Neurospora crassa OR74A: one gene and its partners. The protein of the gene in region 1 interacts with the protein of each later gene in a pairwise test. Links are inferred from orthologs where the notes say so. Each region holds a gene or a part of one and is shown in the gene's direction. Other genes may lie near its edges.

Region 1 (3,748 bases):
GGTCCAACCTCACTGAGCTCGACCGAGTCGTACGAGGTGCGGACATAGACGTGGTGCCTGACCTCAATCGTATCGTCGTTGTTGACAAATGTTATGACTCTGTTGCCGACGTTGGGTTTCTGTGTCGGCTCGCGGGGAGGGAAGAGGTGCTTGAGGATCTTGACCACTCGCTCACCGAGTTTGGTGCTGAAGCCCTCGAAAATTAGCCTGGGGTAGCTTTCGCTGACTGTGCCCTTTATCGACTTGGGAATATCGGCGCGGAGAACGACGTTGTGGAGGGAGACCATGAGCGTCGGGCCATGGGGCTATAGCAAGGATTAGAAAATGCGTTTTGCAAGTACAACAACATGCCTGGAGGGACAACGTACGAAATGGGAAATGGTCATGGCGGTAGGGACACCACGGTGCTCGTGTAGCAAAACAACATCCGTCAAGTTTTGCGCCTTGGCGGCGCCAACAAGGTCTTCCAAAACGAGGTTACCACGGTTCAGCCGAACACTGGTGGGTAGTAGGAGACGGATTTCCTTGCTGAACTGGCCGAGTCTGCTGGAGGGATCGCGACTTGTCGTAACCAAGATTCTGGGGTCAATGACACCCGACAACTCCGAGTATTCGTCGTCGATATCGATGGCGTCTCCGTTCACATCCCTCGAAACATCGTAGTCGAAGTCCTTTCGCAATTCCTTGTCCTTCGCAATCTCGGGGTCGAGTGGCTTGCCCGAGGCCAGGGCAGACCTCAGCTTGGCGCGCTTCTCTGCAACCTCGGCCTCCTTGAGCAGGAGGGCTCTTCGGTAAAGGTAGTCCCGCCTTTGGCGAGCTTGCTTTCTCTATTGCAGATGTTAGTCATGGACATTGAGAAACTTGGAGAAGATGACGAGTAGACAGGGACACTTACAATCATCTTGTTGTGTTGACACGCTTATCAGACGGTAATAAGTGATTCGGTGGAAGGGATCGCGCCGAGCTCTCAGAGTCGTGTTGTCGAAAGTGGTAGTAATGAGGTTGTCGATAAGAATTAAGGCTGCGAAGACTGGCAGAAATTCAGATGTTCCGGGTCGATACTAGTGGAGGGCGGAGTGGTTGGTGACGACAGGGGTGTTCACAGAGAAAAAAGTCGAAAAAAGTTACAATCGAATGGGACTAAGCGCGAGGTGCACGGATCTTTTCAGCTTGGCGGATACCTATTGGCTTAGGTCCCGTCGATTTGCGCCTGCCGGGAAAGAGATCGCGCCTGGGTCGCCCGGTTCAACGCCACCTTAGGTACCCTGGCTCCCTTCGCTGCAGCTTGTGCCGGTTTCCCAGTACCTACCTACCTACTTGCTGCCCGCTTTCTAGAATACAGGGCAGTTTCAGGCGCTATGACTGCCCGTGCTTCTCAAACAGCTGAGCCCAGAACTGGAGGCTGCTGATAGAAGGCCGTCGGATATCAAACAAGGGAACGACGAACCTCCAACCTGAACCGCAACCGTGACCCGTCCGCCAACACAAACTGAACGGAAGTCGGCCACCGGCAAAATTCCCCCAAGCAAACAACAACCGTGACCTTGAACGGCGGCAACCAAACCATTTGCTTCACAACACCAAGAACAACCTTAAGCGAGCCGATCAGTGGTCTCACTCTGCATCAGCACCTCGACGTTCTGGCAGTGTCGTCGTTTCGAAAGCCCCCGCGCGCAACACAGCCCGCTCGCCGATCCAATCCGTTATGCGATGATGTGACCTTTTAGACGACGTCCAAGCCCATAATCTACATCTTTCCATAGTCCCGCATTGCGACAACCCGCAATACGACAGCCACACCTTTTACCTTTCGACAAAACTTCCGGGTGTGAACTCTTCAAGGTACGCCGCTTGTTTGCGTGTCATGTTCATGTAAACACTGAAATACACATCCCTCCCCAACAGCCCGCTCAACAGCTACAGGCTGGACCGCGGCGTATACCAACAGTACCTTACTTATCTCGTTCCCCAACGATACCTGCCTGACCCTACGTTACTGTTGCGAATTTCCCTCCCAGACACTTACTGACCAGCTGCTGGTGCTCCAGAGTTTACCTCCGTCAACCCACTCGCCATCATGGCCAACATGGAGGTGTCCTTCACACACCTTGGAAACCACTTGGTTTCCGACTCTGCTGCTGCCATCAAGGCCGGTGGCTCCGACGAACTGTCCAATATCGATCCCGATGAGAACCTCCTCTACGGTGTCTACGGTGGACGTGGTCCCCGCGGCAATGGTAGACGCCGCCACGATGACGACGACAACGAGACCGAGGTCCTTGATGACGATGATGACGAGAGTTTGGCCAGCGTTCCAGTCGACGGCATGAAGAGCCTCAAGCTGGATGCCCCCGTGGAGGAGAAGGAACTGCCTCCCCACGCCTGTGCCTACTGTGGCATCCACTCGCCCTCTAGCGTCGTCAAGTGCCTTACCTGTAACAAGTGGTTCTGCAGCGCCAAAGGAAGCGCCTTCTCGTCCCATATCGTCAACCACCTTGTTCGCGCCCGTCACAAGGAAGTTCAACTTCACCCCGAGTCCTCCCTCGGCGATACCGTCCTCGAATGTTACAACTGCGGCACCAAGAATGTCTTCATCCTCGGTTTCATCCCTGCCAAGTCAGACACGGTTGTGGTCCTCCTCTGCCGCCAGCCGTGTGGTGCTAGTACGTCGACCAAGGATATGAGCTGGGATATATCCAGGTGGCAACCCTTGATCGAAGACAGGGCTTTCCTCAACTGGCTCGTCACCCCTCCCACGGATGCTGAGCAGCTTCGTGCTCGCCATCTCACGCCGCCCATGATTGCCAAGCTCGAGGAAATGTGGAAGGAGGCACCGAACGCGACTGTTGCCGACCTCGAAAAGACTGCCGGAGTCGATGATGATCCTCACCCGGTCTTGCTCAAGTACGACGACCCTTATCATTATCAGAACATCTTCGGCCCTCTCGTCAAGATGGAATCCGACTACGACAAAAAGCTGAAGGAGGCCCAGTCTGAGGATGGCCTTCAAGTCCGCTGGCATCTGGGTCTCAATAGTAAACACGTCGCCAGCTTCATCCTTCCCAAGATCGAGTCCGGTGACGTTAAGCTGGCCGTTGGCGATGAGATGCGTCTCAAGTACAAGGGAGAGCTGCGCCCGCCTTGGGAGGGTGTTGGATATGTTATCAAGATTCCCAACAACCAGTCCGACGAGGTTGAGGTGGAACTTCGCAAGTCAGCCAATGACAAGTCTGTCCCCACGGAATGCACACACAATTTCTCGGCCGACTATGTGTGGAAAGCGACTTCCTATGACCGCATGCAGCTGGCCATGAAGACCTTTGCCGTCGACGAGATGAGTGTTTCTGGTTACATCTTCCACAAGCTGCTGGGACACGAAGTCCAGGTTGCCCCGACAAAGATTACGATGCCCAAGAAGTTCCACGTTCCCGGTCTCCCTGAGCTCAATGCCAGCCAAATTGCCGCCATCAAGCAGGTCTTGTCCAACCCTCTGAGCCTTATCCAGGGTCCTCCGGGAACTGGCAAGACCGTCACTTCGGCCACCATCATCTACCATCTTGCCAAGATGAGCAACAGCCAAGTTCTTGTTTGCGCCCCATCCAACGTTGCTGTGGACCAGCTCTGTGAGAGGATCCACAGAACCGGCCTGAAGGTCGTTCGCTTGACCGCCAAGTCCCGTGAGGATGTCGAGTCCTCCGTCAGTTTCCTGGCTCTCCACGAGCAAGTTCGCATGAATACTACCAACAAG
Region 2 (3,748 bases), on another chromosome or scaffold:
GTCTCGCCTTTACGGGAAACCGGGCCTCCGCAAATTGATGGGGAACACGGGTTTTGCAAACAGTAATCTCTTTGCCTCTTTATTTCACGTCAGATGAGGGAAGACCAAAATGGCCATCATGTGGGACGATGGTTATGTGACAGGATGACGGCCGCGCACACGGGAAAGATACCTCTACAAAGATACCACTTTGAGTTTTTGCACGCACGAAAGTTTGTTCCGACCTTTTTTTGTTGTTGTTGTTTCCGTTTTAGTATTACTATATCCTTGCGTTTCTTGGTTCGTATCTATCTGTCTTACGTCCTTTCCGTTTTTATGTCTATCGTATATCAAATACCACCTAGCGTTTTGGCTTTTGAAGCGGAAGTCTTATCCCTTGGATCCGTCTGTCCTGACTGACATGGCACGATCAAAATTGCTTCCGCTCCTAGTTGTTCTATGATTGTCATGCGGGTTGACAGAGCGAGAGTCCGCAGGAGGGCTTATATGGAACAGAGTAAGAGAAGGAGTAGGTGCGAAGCTTTAAAGTCATTTGGTGGATGAAAGATTACGTTTTGGTAAACGTCCTGGGTGGTGGGATGAGATGTGAAGAAGAGAGTTGGTGGCAGACAAGGAAATAACAAAAGAAACAAAAGAGAATCTCTAGATACCCAGCGAAATGAGGTAGTTTGGCGTTGCAATTCAAACAGTTTTCACGTCTTGGTCAAGGCTATAGCAGTGGTCTGTTTGTGTGAAGATGTGGTTTTTGTATGTCCATCCACTCACTGTACTCAGGGGCACAGATGGAAGCGACTGGAGCTCAAGGGAAGCCAACGAACTCTCGATCAAATCAGATCAGAAAAGGGGTCAATGATAAGATCAACCGTTGGGTAAACAAGACAAACAAACAAACAAGCTGCCCAGCCCTGTCTTGCGCTGCCCTACCAGGCAAAGCCTAGAGGTACTGGTAGAGGTGTAGATCTTCCATCCTTGGTTCCAATTCCCGTGGCTGTCTGCCCTGGCCACCTCTATGTCATTGAATTGCTGTAGTGTAATGGCGGCTCCAGTCGGGGAATTGGGGGTAGGTAGGTAGCCTGCACTGTGGGGTGCTGCTGTTAAGGCACCCGCTGTGGTCGCGGGGCGCAGGCGCTAAAGCGCGTTAAGGCGCCCAATGAATGGCGAGGGCGTCCCCCTGATGCCGCGGGAATCATCACTGGTGAATTGACTCAGATATCGGCCTGTAGGGTGGTCAAGTTAGCATGGACTGCCCTAGGGGACCTGATGCCCCATGGAACCCCCCCCCCCACTGACAATGGAACCTGGAACCAAGGAACTCAACGAACTCAAGCGTGCTGAAGAACCCGCTTGGCCCACGGACAGGCACCTCGTCCGGCCATCCATTCATCACTTTTGATCGACAACCGAACCGCGTTCTCCCTTCCACCGTCCGTGACGCCGCCCCCGGGTTGCTTCGAATGATACTACAGACCAGACACCTTGACGGAAGAAAAGCCGCAACTCTGGCCGCCGAAACAAGCACCAATACCACCACCACCACCACCACCACCACCACCACCACCACCGCCGCCGCCTCTCGGTCATCCGTCGTTGAGCTCGTCCAGGTCCGAGAGCCTTCAGTGGCCTGCTCCGTTGCTCCCCTGCCGTATCACGTCACCGATGTCTACCATTGCTGATGGGGATTGCCGCTACCGATTTCTCAACCCTTAGCATATCCACCAGTGCATGCCACTGCTCTGTGTTCATACCATTGATTCTCATCGCCCAGTATGGATCGCCAAAGACGGCGTGAGTTTGCAGTCCTTCCTCTCTTCCCGCTTTTCTGTTCACTTGGGGCTGTAACTTGGCTCTTTGGCTTTTGTTGGGCTAACAATTCGTAGGTGAGCTGCGGGCGCTGAACTCGAGGGCTTGGAACGGCGAGAAAGGTACGATTTACGAGCTTCTATTGCGCCCCCCCGATAACCAGTCGGCCCATTGCTCACGCTCTTCACTTCCAACAGATCTCTTTCCCGTCAGCAAGTCCCTCGACTCTACCCTAAAGAAAAACACTGCTTTTATCAAGCGTCTCCGAACCACCATCTCCGCCGCCACCCAGAGCACCTTCCTCCAGGAGATCCGCACCGTCAGCCTCTCCAAATACCTTTCCGAAATCATCTCAGCATGCTACGAGGGCCTCTGCAAGCTCAAGTCTCCCGGAGACATCGAGGCCGGCGTCGAGATCGTCAGCGCCCTGCACCAGCGATTCGGACCCGCCGACTTTACCGAACACTTGGGCTGGCTTCTGGGCAAGGGCATGGCCACTCCTGATAAGAGTTTCCTCAAGACCCTTACCCCCGAGGCGAGAGAGAAGGAAGAAAAAGACCGCTTGGTTCGACAGCGCGTTCTCCTCCGCGTCGTGACCGAGCTCTGGCTTGTTGATGTTCTGCGGACCCTGGACGATATTGCTCGCCCCGACGACGCTACGAGACCGACCACGGGAGCCAGAGCCGAGCCGAAGCCGCGGTCTTCTTCCGGCAAGGGAGGCGGTGCCGAGCCCTTTCCACTCGAAGTTCTGAAGGATCTCTTGAATCACGATCGAGACCACGCCAACCTCCCCTTGCTCGTCATCTTTGTCAAGGCTTTCAGTTGGGATATCTTGGGCATCAAGGCTGCGGGCCAAGATGGTCGTAAAACCGTGGAGGAGGATGGCGCTACCAAGGGCGCCGAGGAGACCGAAGGCGACGGATCCGAAGACAAGGAGGAAGGTGCCGGCGCGGATCAGGACGGTCCCTTTGCCCCTCCTGAGTTGCAGGAGCGCTTCAAGAATATCCTCAAGCGCTACTTTGAGGACGTCAAGGGCCACCTTGTTCGGGACCAAAAGGCTATCTACAACCAATCGCGCAAGAATGCGGAGGCCTATGTCAAGTCGGGAGAGGTCTTTGAGGATCGCCAGTCAAACTTTGAGAAGCAGGTCAAGGCCCAAGAACGTCTCGTGGCCAATGCGCAGGTTATTGCCGATATCATTGGCGCGGAGATGCCCGAGTTGAAGGATACTGATGAGGGCAACGCCGCGAACGGCACAATCGGCCTGGTCAAGGCTGGTGAGTACCTCCGTGGACAGGGTGAGGGGCCCGGAATCTGGGAGGACGAGGAAGAGCGTCGCTTCTACGAAAACTTGGTTGATCTGAAGGGCAAGGTCCCTGGCATTCTGCTTGAAGAAGTTAAGAAGAAGAAAGCAGATGACGAACAGGTGGGCAGGAAGATTGACCCTGTTGAAGCCGCGGAAGCTGCCAAGGCGGCCGAGGCTGCTGCCGCCGATGACCAGTCTATTGCTATTGCGAACAAGACAATTGGCGCTCAGGTTGACGCCCTGCTTGTGCGCCTTCCTGAGCTCATCAGCAAAGACGCCATTGACCAGATGGCTATCGACTTCTGCTTCCTCAATTCGAAGGCGTCTCGCAACCGGCTCATCAAGGCCTTGACCGATGTGCCCAAGGGACGTACCGATCTCCTCCCGAACTGGGCTAGGCTCGTTGCCACGCTTGGTCAATACATGCCCGATATCCCCAAGGGCCTCGTTGACTACCTCGACAATGAGTTCCGTAGTCTTCAGCGGCGCAAGGAAAAGGAGTTTCTTGGGCAGGTCAGGCTGAGCAACATTCGCTACCTGGCTGAGCTGACCAAATTTGGCATTGTTCCGGAGCACGTTGTCTTCCACTGTCTCAAGGTCAGTTTGGATGACTTTTCGCGGATGAACATTGAGATCATTTGC
Region 3 (3,748 bases), on another chromosome or scaffold:
CAATCGCGTGAATAAATGGCTGTAAAGATTTGGTAACCAACAGACTTAAGGTGCTCTTCACGCTCCAGTATTAATAGTGACTTTTCGCTGCCTTTATCAAATGCACAAACCTCAACTTGAACATGATATCGAGCACGTCTGACAGCGATGTGCAAGCCCAAGAGACTGGAGCCGGAGCCGGACTGAGACTCGGCAATGTTGTCACTCCGGATGCAGTTTCCAATGCCGGCAATGCAACCGATCGGGCGCCACCACCGCTCTCACCAGGAGACTATACAGTGTACAACCGACTAGACGAGCGAATGGACTACTTTGTCTGTGCTCATCCTTTCCTGCACTCTATTCCTCGATATCAGATTGAAGTACAATCACTGTCGCTCGGTGTGGAATACGCTCGACACAGCTTGTACCTGTGACAACGGTAGTCAAGGCACAGCAGCACTGACTGAGCGACAACCCATAGAATGCGGGCTCCGTCACTCGCTACCTAAAAGCTCACCAATCCATCAAAGACTTGCATGGTTTCCTTATAGCAAAGCAAATGCCTCAATTGAGAGCTGCCATCAAGGCCCATAATCGTCAACGTCGTCATCATTATCAGCAGCAGCATCAGCATCGTAAGCGAAACGGAAGAAGAGTATCAGGGGGGGCCAAAGGAGGACATGGAAGAAGCAGCGAACCATGATTTAATCCAGCAACACCGTACCATTCACTTGGGCATGGAGCAGTTCGAAAAGGACCTGAAGAATTGCAGGAGCAAAGAGAAAGCGTTTAGTCTGCTGGTGCTGGAGCGTTTGGATCAGGAGGTGGAGGAGTTGGGGCGGAGAGGAGAAGATGAGTAAGTTTTGGGAGTTTGGAGGGGACGGAGAGATTGCTGTTGTCCGAAAGAAACCAAGAGGGCAAGTCAGGGAAGGGGCTTGAAGGTCGTGAGTAGTGTAGTGATCGAAAAATGTTTCAGGACATGGAAGTGGTGGTTTGTGTTGAGAGAATGTGGCTGATGGTGGTGGACTAGACCAGGCGGTGGTGATGGATTTATTGCCACTCTTTGTGTACGCAGTAGTGTACATCCTGGTCGGCTGCGGAACGGACTGGAAGTTGCTGCTCCCAAAGTCTTCAGATGAGGTGGGAGATGGATGGCAATATGAGGCCTAAGTACGGCTGTATACACGTGTAGAAACATGCTAGCATCGAGCATGGACATGTATGTGAACAGGCAACTCCTATAGAATGTGGTCAAGATTACAGATTCTCTTTTCCGTTCCCTGACAGCTGAGGTGAGCGACGACGGATGATTGCCCAACAACCGCGACGCGCAGCAAAGACTGCCAAGCATAATCCGCCAGTGAAGCAAGAACGAGAACCCTTCTGGCAAAGCGGAGTCGGTGAACCAGGTGACGCCAATTCCCGCAAAGGTGGACTTCTGCCTGATTGATAAGGCCACACATGCCTTATCGGCGCTTTATCTGTGCTTATCTGTGCTTGTCAACAGTGAAAGAATGCAGGCCCGCCAAGTGTTGCCAGTCGGGTCCAGTTTTTTTTTTCTCTGGTGCCAGACCGCCCCTACATGGAAGTCTGGGGGACAGGTACGGCAATGCCCGGTCCCCTCAAATCCGCCTTCGCTGTAACGACTGCAGTGAACTGAAGGGAAGGGAAGAAAAAAAAAATATTTTTCTGGGGCACTTGCACGCAAGGGACGCGTTGCGCCTTCCGCCTCCAACAAAAAGAAAGACTTTTTCTTCCCGCTTGGAGGCGAGTCGGGTCTGGCACAGGATCCGCATCTCACATCCACTAGCACTGCACAGCGGAACCCACCAATCCTCCATCGACATCTCCCTTTGGTCAGGTTCTTTTCCCATACTAACCTTACGTGACGGGTCCTTGTCCAGTGCCCCCAGAGTTTTTTTCGTTTCGACTTCCGTCCAGAAAAACTTGCACTTCACCCTTCGCAGCAGCCCTTTTCTTCCTTCCTTCCACCCACCCTCCATCTCCAATATCCCTTCCCGCCTACTTCTTGCGATTCTGCAAGATTCTTCATCCGCGATCCTTCTTTAACCAGTCGGACTGCTTACTTGTAACCACTTCACGCGTGTCGTTTGGTTCTTGTCTCTAGACGTCTGTCTTTTCCGACGTCTTCTTTTCCCGACAATCGATACCCTTGCGCCTCTAGGCCTTGTTTGCTCGTCGTTTCGGTCTACCCTTCAGCAACCCCAATAACAACCGATCTTCAATTTTCAACCTTTTCTTAAACAACCAGCAAACATGTCCGGATCTTACGGCGGCGGCGGCTACGGTGGCCGCGGTGGCGGTGGTGGTGGATATTCTAACGGGTACGATCGCAATGGCGGCGGCTACTCTAACAACTACTCCTCACACGGGTATGATGTTTTAGCGCGAACCTGCTCATTTCCTCTCTCTCTCTCTCTCTCTCTCTCTCTCTCTCTCTCTCTCTCTCTCTCTCTCTCTCTCTCTCTCTTTGCATTTCAAGATCAAATTGCTAACATCTGGTTCAACAGTGGCTCGAATGGCTACGGAGGCGGCGGCGGAGGATATGGCGGCGGTGGTGGTGGCTACGGAGGCGGCGGCTACGGTGGTGGTGGCGGCGGTGATAGGATGTCTGCTCTCGGTGCTGGTCTGCAGAAGCAGAACTGGGACATGAGCGCTCTTCCCAAGTTCGAGAAGTCCTTCTACCAAGAGCATCCTAGCGTCGCCAACCGATCTCCTGCTGAGGTCGACAAGTTCCGCGCAGACCACTCCATTGCCGTCTTCGGTAACAACGTTCCCAAGCCTGTCGAGACCTTCGACGAGGCTGGTTTCCCTCGCTACGTTATGGACGAGGTCAAGGCTCAGGGTTTCCCTGCTCCTACTGCCATTCAGTCGCAGGGCTGGCCCATGGCCCTTTCTGGTCGCGATGTCGTCGGTATTGCCGAGACCGGTTCCGGAAAGACGCTCACCTACTGCCTTCCCGCCATCGTTCACATCAACGCTCAGCCTCTCCTCGCTCCCGGCGATGGCCCTATCGTCCTCATCCTCGCCCCTACCCGTGAGTTGGCTGTCCAGATTCAGCAAGAAATCTCCAAGTTCGGCAAGTCGTCCCGCATTCGCAACACCTGCGTCTACGGTGGTGTCCCCAAGGGTCCCCAGATTCGCGATCTTTCCAGGGGAGTCGAGGTCTGTATCGCCACCCCCGGCCGTTTGATCGATATGCTCGAGTCTGGCAAGACCAACCTCCGTCGTGTCACCTACCTTGTCCTCGATGAGGCTGATCGCATGTTGGACATGGGTTTCGAGCCCCAAATTCGCAAGATCATCGGCCAGATTCGCCCTGATCGTCAGACTCTCATGTGGTCTGCTACCTGGCCCAAGGAGGTCCGCAACTTGGCCGCCGACTTCTTGACCGACTTCATCCAGGTCAACATCGGTTCCATGGATTTGGCTGCCAACCACCGTATCACCCAGATCGTCGAGGTTGTTTCCGAGTCCGAGAAGCGTGATCGCATGATCAAGCATCTTGAGAAGATTATGGAGGGCCGCGAGAACCAGAACAAGATCCTCATCTTCACCGGCACCAAGCGTGTCGCCGACGACATCACCCGCTTCCTCCGCCAGGACGGCTGGCCCGCTCTTTCCATCCACGGCGACAAGCAACAGAACGAGCGTGACTGGGTTTTGGACCAGTTCAAGACTGGCAAGAGCCCTATCATGGTTGCCACCGACGTGGCTTCTCGTGGTATCGGTATGTATCCATCTT

What was found.
Region 2: the proteins of prd-6 (region 1) and NCU05267 interact in a two-hybrid assay, tested with the Saccharomyces cerevisiae proteins (8 studies listed by BioGRID, with this or other methods). The link is inferred for Neurospora crassa OR74A from reciprocal best matches to the Saccharomyces cerevisiae genes NAM7 and NMD2.
Region 3: the proteins of prd-6 (region 1) and NCU07839 interact in a two-hybrid assay, tested with the Saccharomyces cerevisiae proteins (2 studies listed by BioGRID). The link is inferred for Neurospora crassa OR74A from reciprocal best matches to the Saccharomyces cerevisiae genes NAM7 and DBP2.

Annotation. Positions count from the first base shown.
Region 1 is NC_026505.1:5,330,395-5,334,142, reverse strand, and holds the start of prd-6 (ATP-dependent helicase NAM7), read left to right. Parts: upstream 1-1,322; 5' UTR 1,323-1,842; intron 1,843-2,048; 5' UTR 2,049-2,077; coding exon 2,078-3,748. Other genes in the region: NCU04243 (U3 small nucleolar ribonucleoprotein IMP4), read right to left, coding at 1-305, 369-827, 896-901. UniProt on the Saccharomyces cerevisiae protein: RNA-dependent helicase required for nonsense-mediated decay (NMD) of aberrant mRNAs containing premature stop codons and modulates the expression level of normal mRNAs. Also capable of unwinding double-stranded DNA and translocating on single-stranded DNA.
Region 2 is NC_026504.1:5,535,169-5,538,916, reverse strand, and holds the start of NCU05267 (nonsense-mediated mRNA decay factor), read left to right. Parts: upstream 1-1,409; 5' UTR 1,410-1,766; coding exon 1,767-1,785; intron 1,786-1,877; coding exon 1,878-1,922; intron 1,923-1,997; coding exon 1,998-3,748. UniProt on the Saccharomyces cerevisiae protein: Involved in nonsense-mediated decay of mRNAs containing premature stop codons. It interacts, via its C-terminus, with NAM7/UPF1.
Region 3 is NC_026503.1:1,035,914-1,039,661, forward strand, and holds the start of NCU07839 (ATP-dependent RNA helicase dbp-2), read left to right. Parts: upstream 1-1,555; 5' UTR 1,556-2,259; coding exon 2,260-2,375; intron 2,376-2,513; coding exon 2,514-3,733; intron 3,734-3,748. Other genes in the region: NCU07838 (hypothetical protein), read left to right, coding at 663-838, 1,175-1,226. UniProt on the Saccharomyces cerevisiae protein: ATP-dependent RNA helicase involved nonsense-mediated mRNA decay and ribosome biogenesis through rRNA processing. Associates directly with chromatin, correlating with transcriptional activity.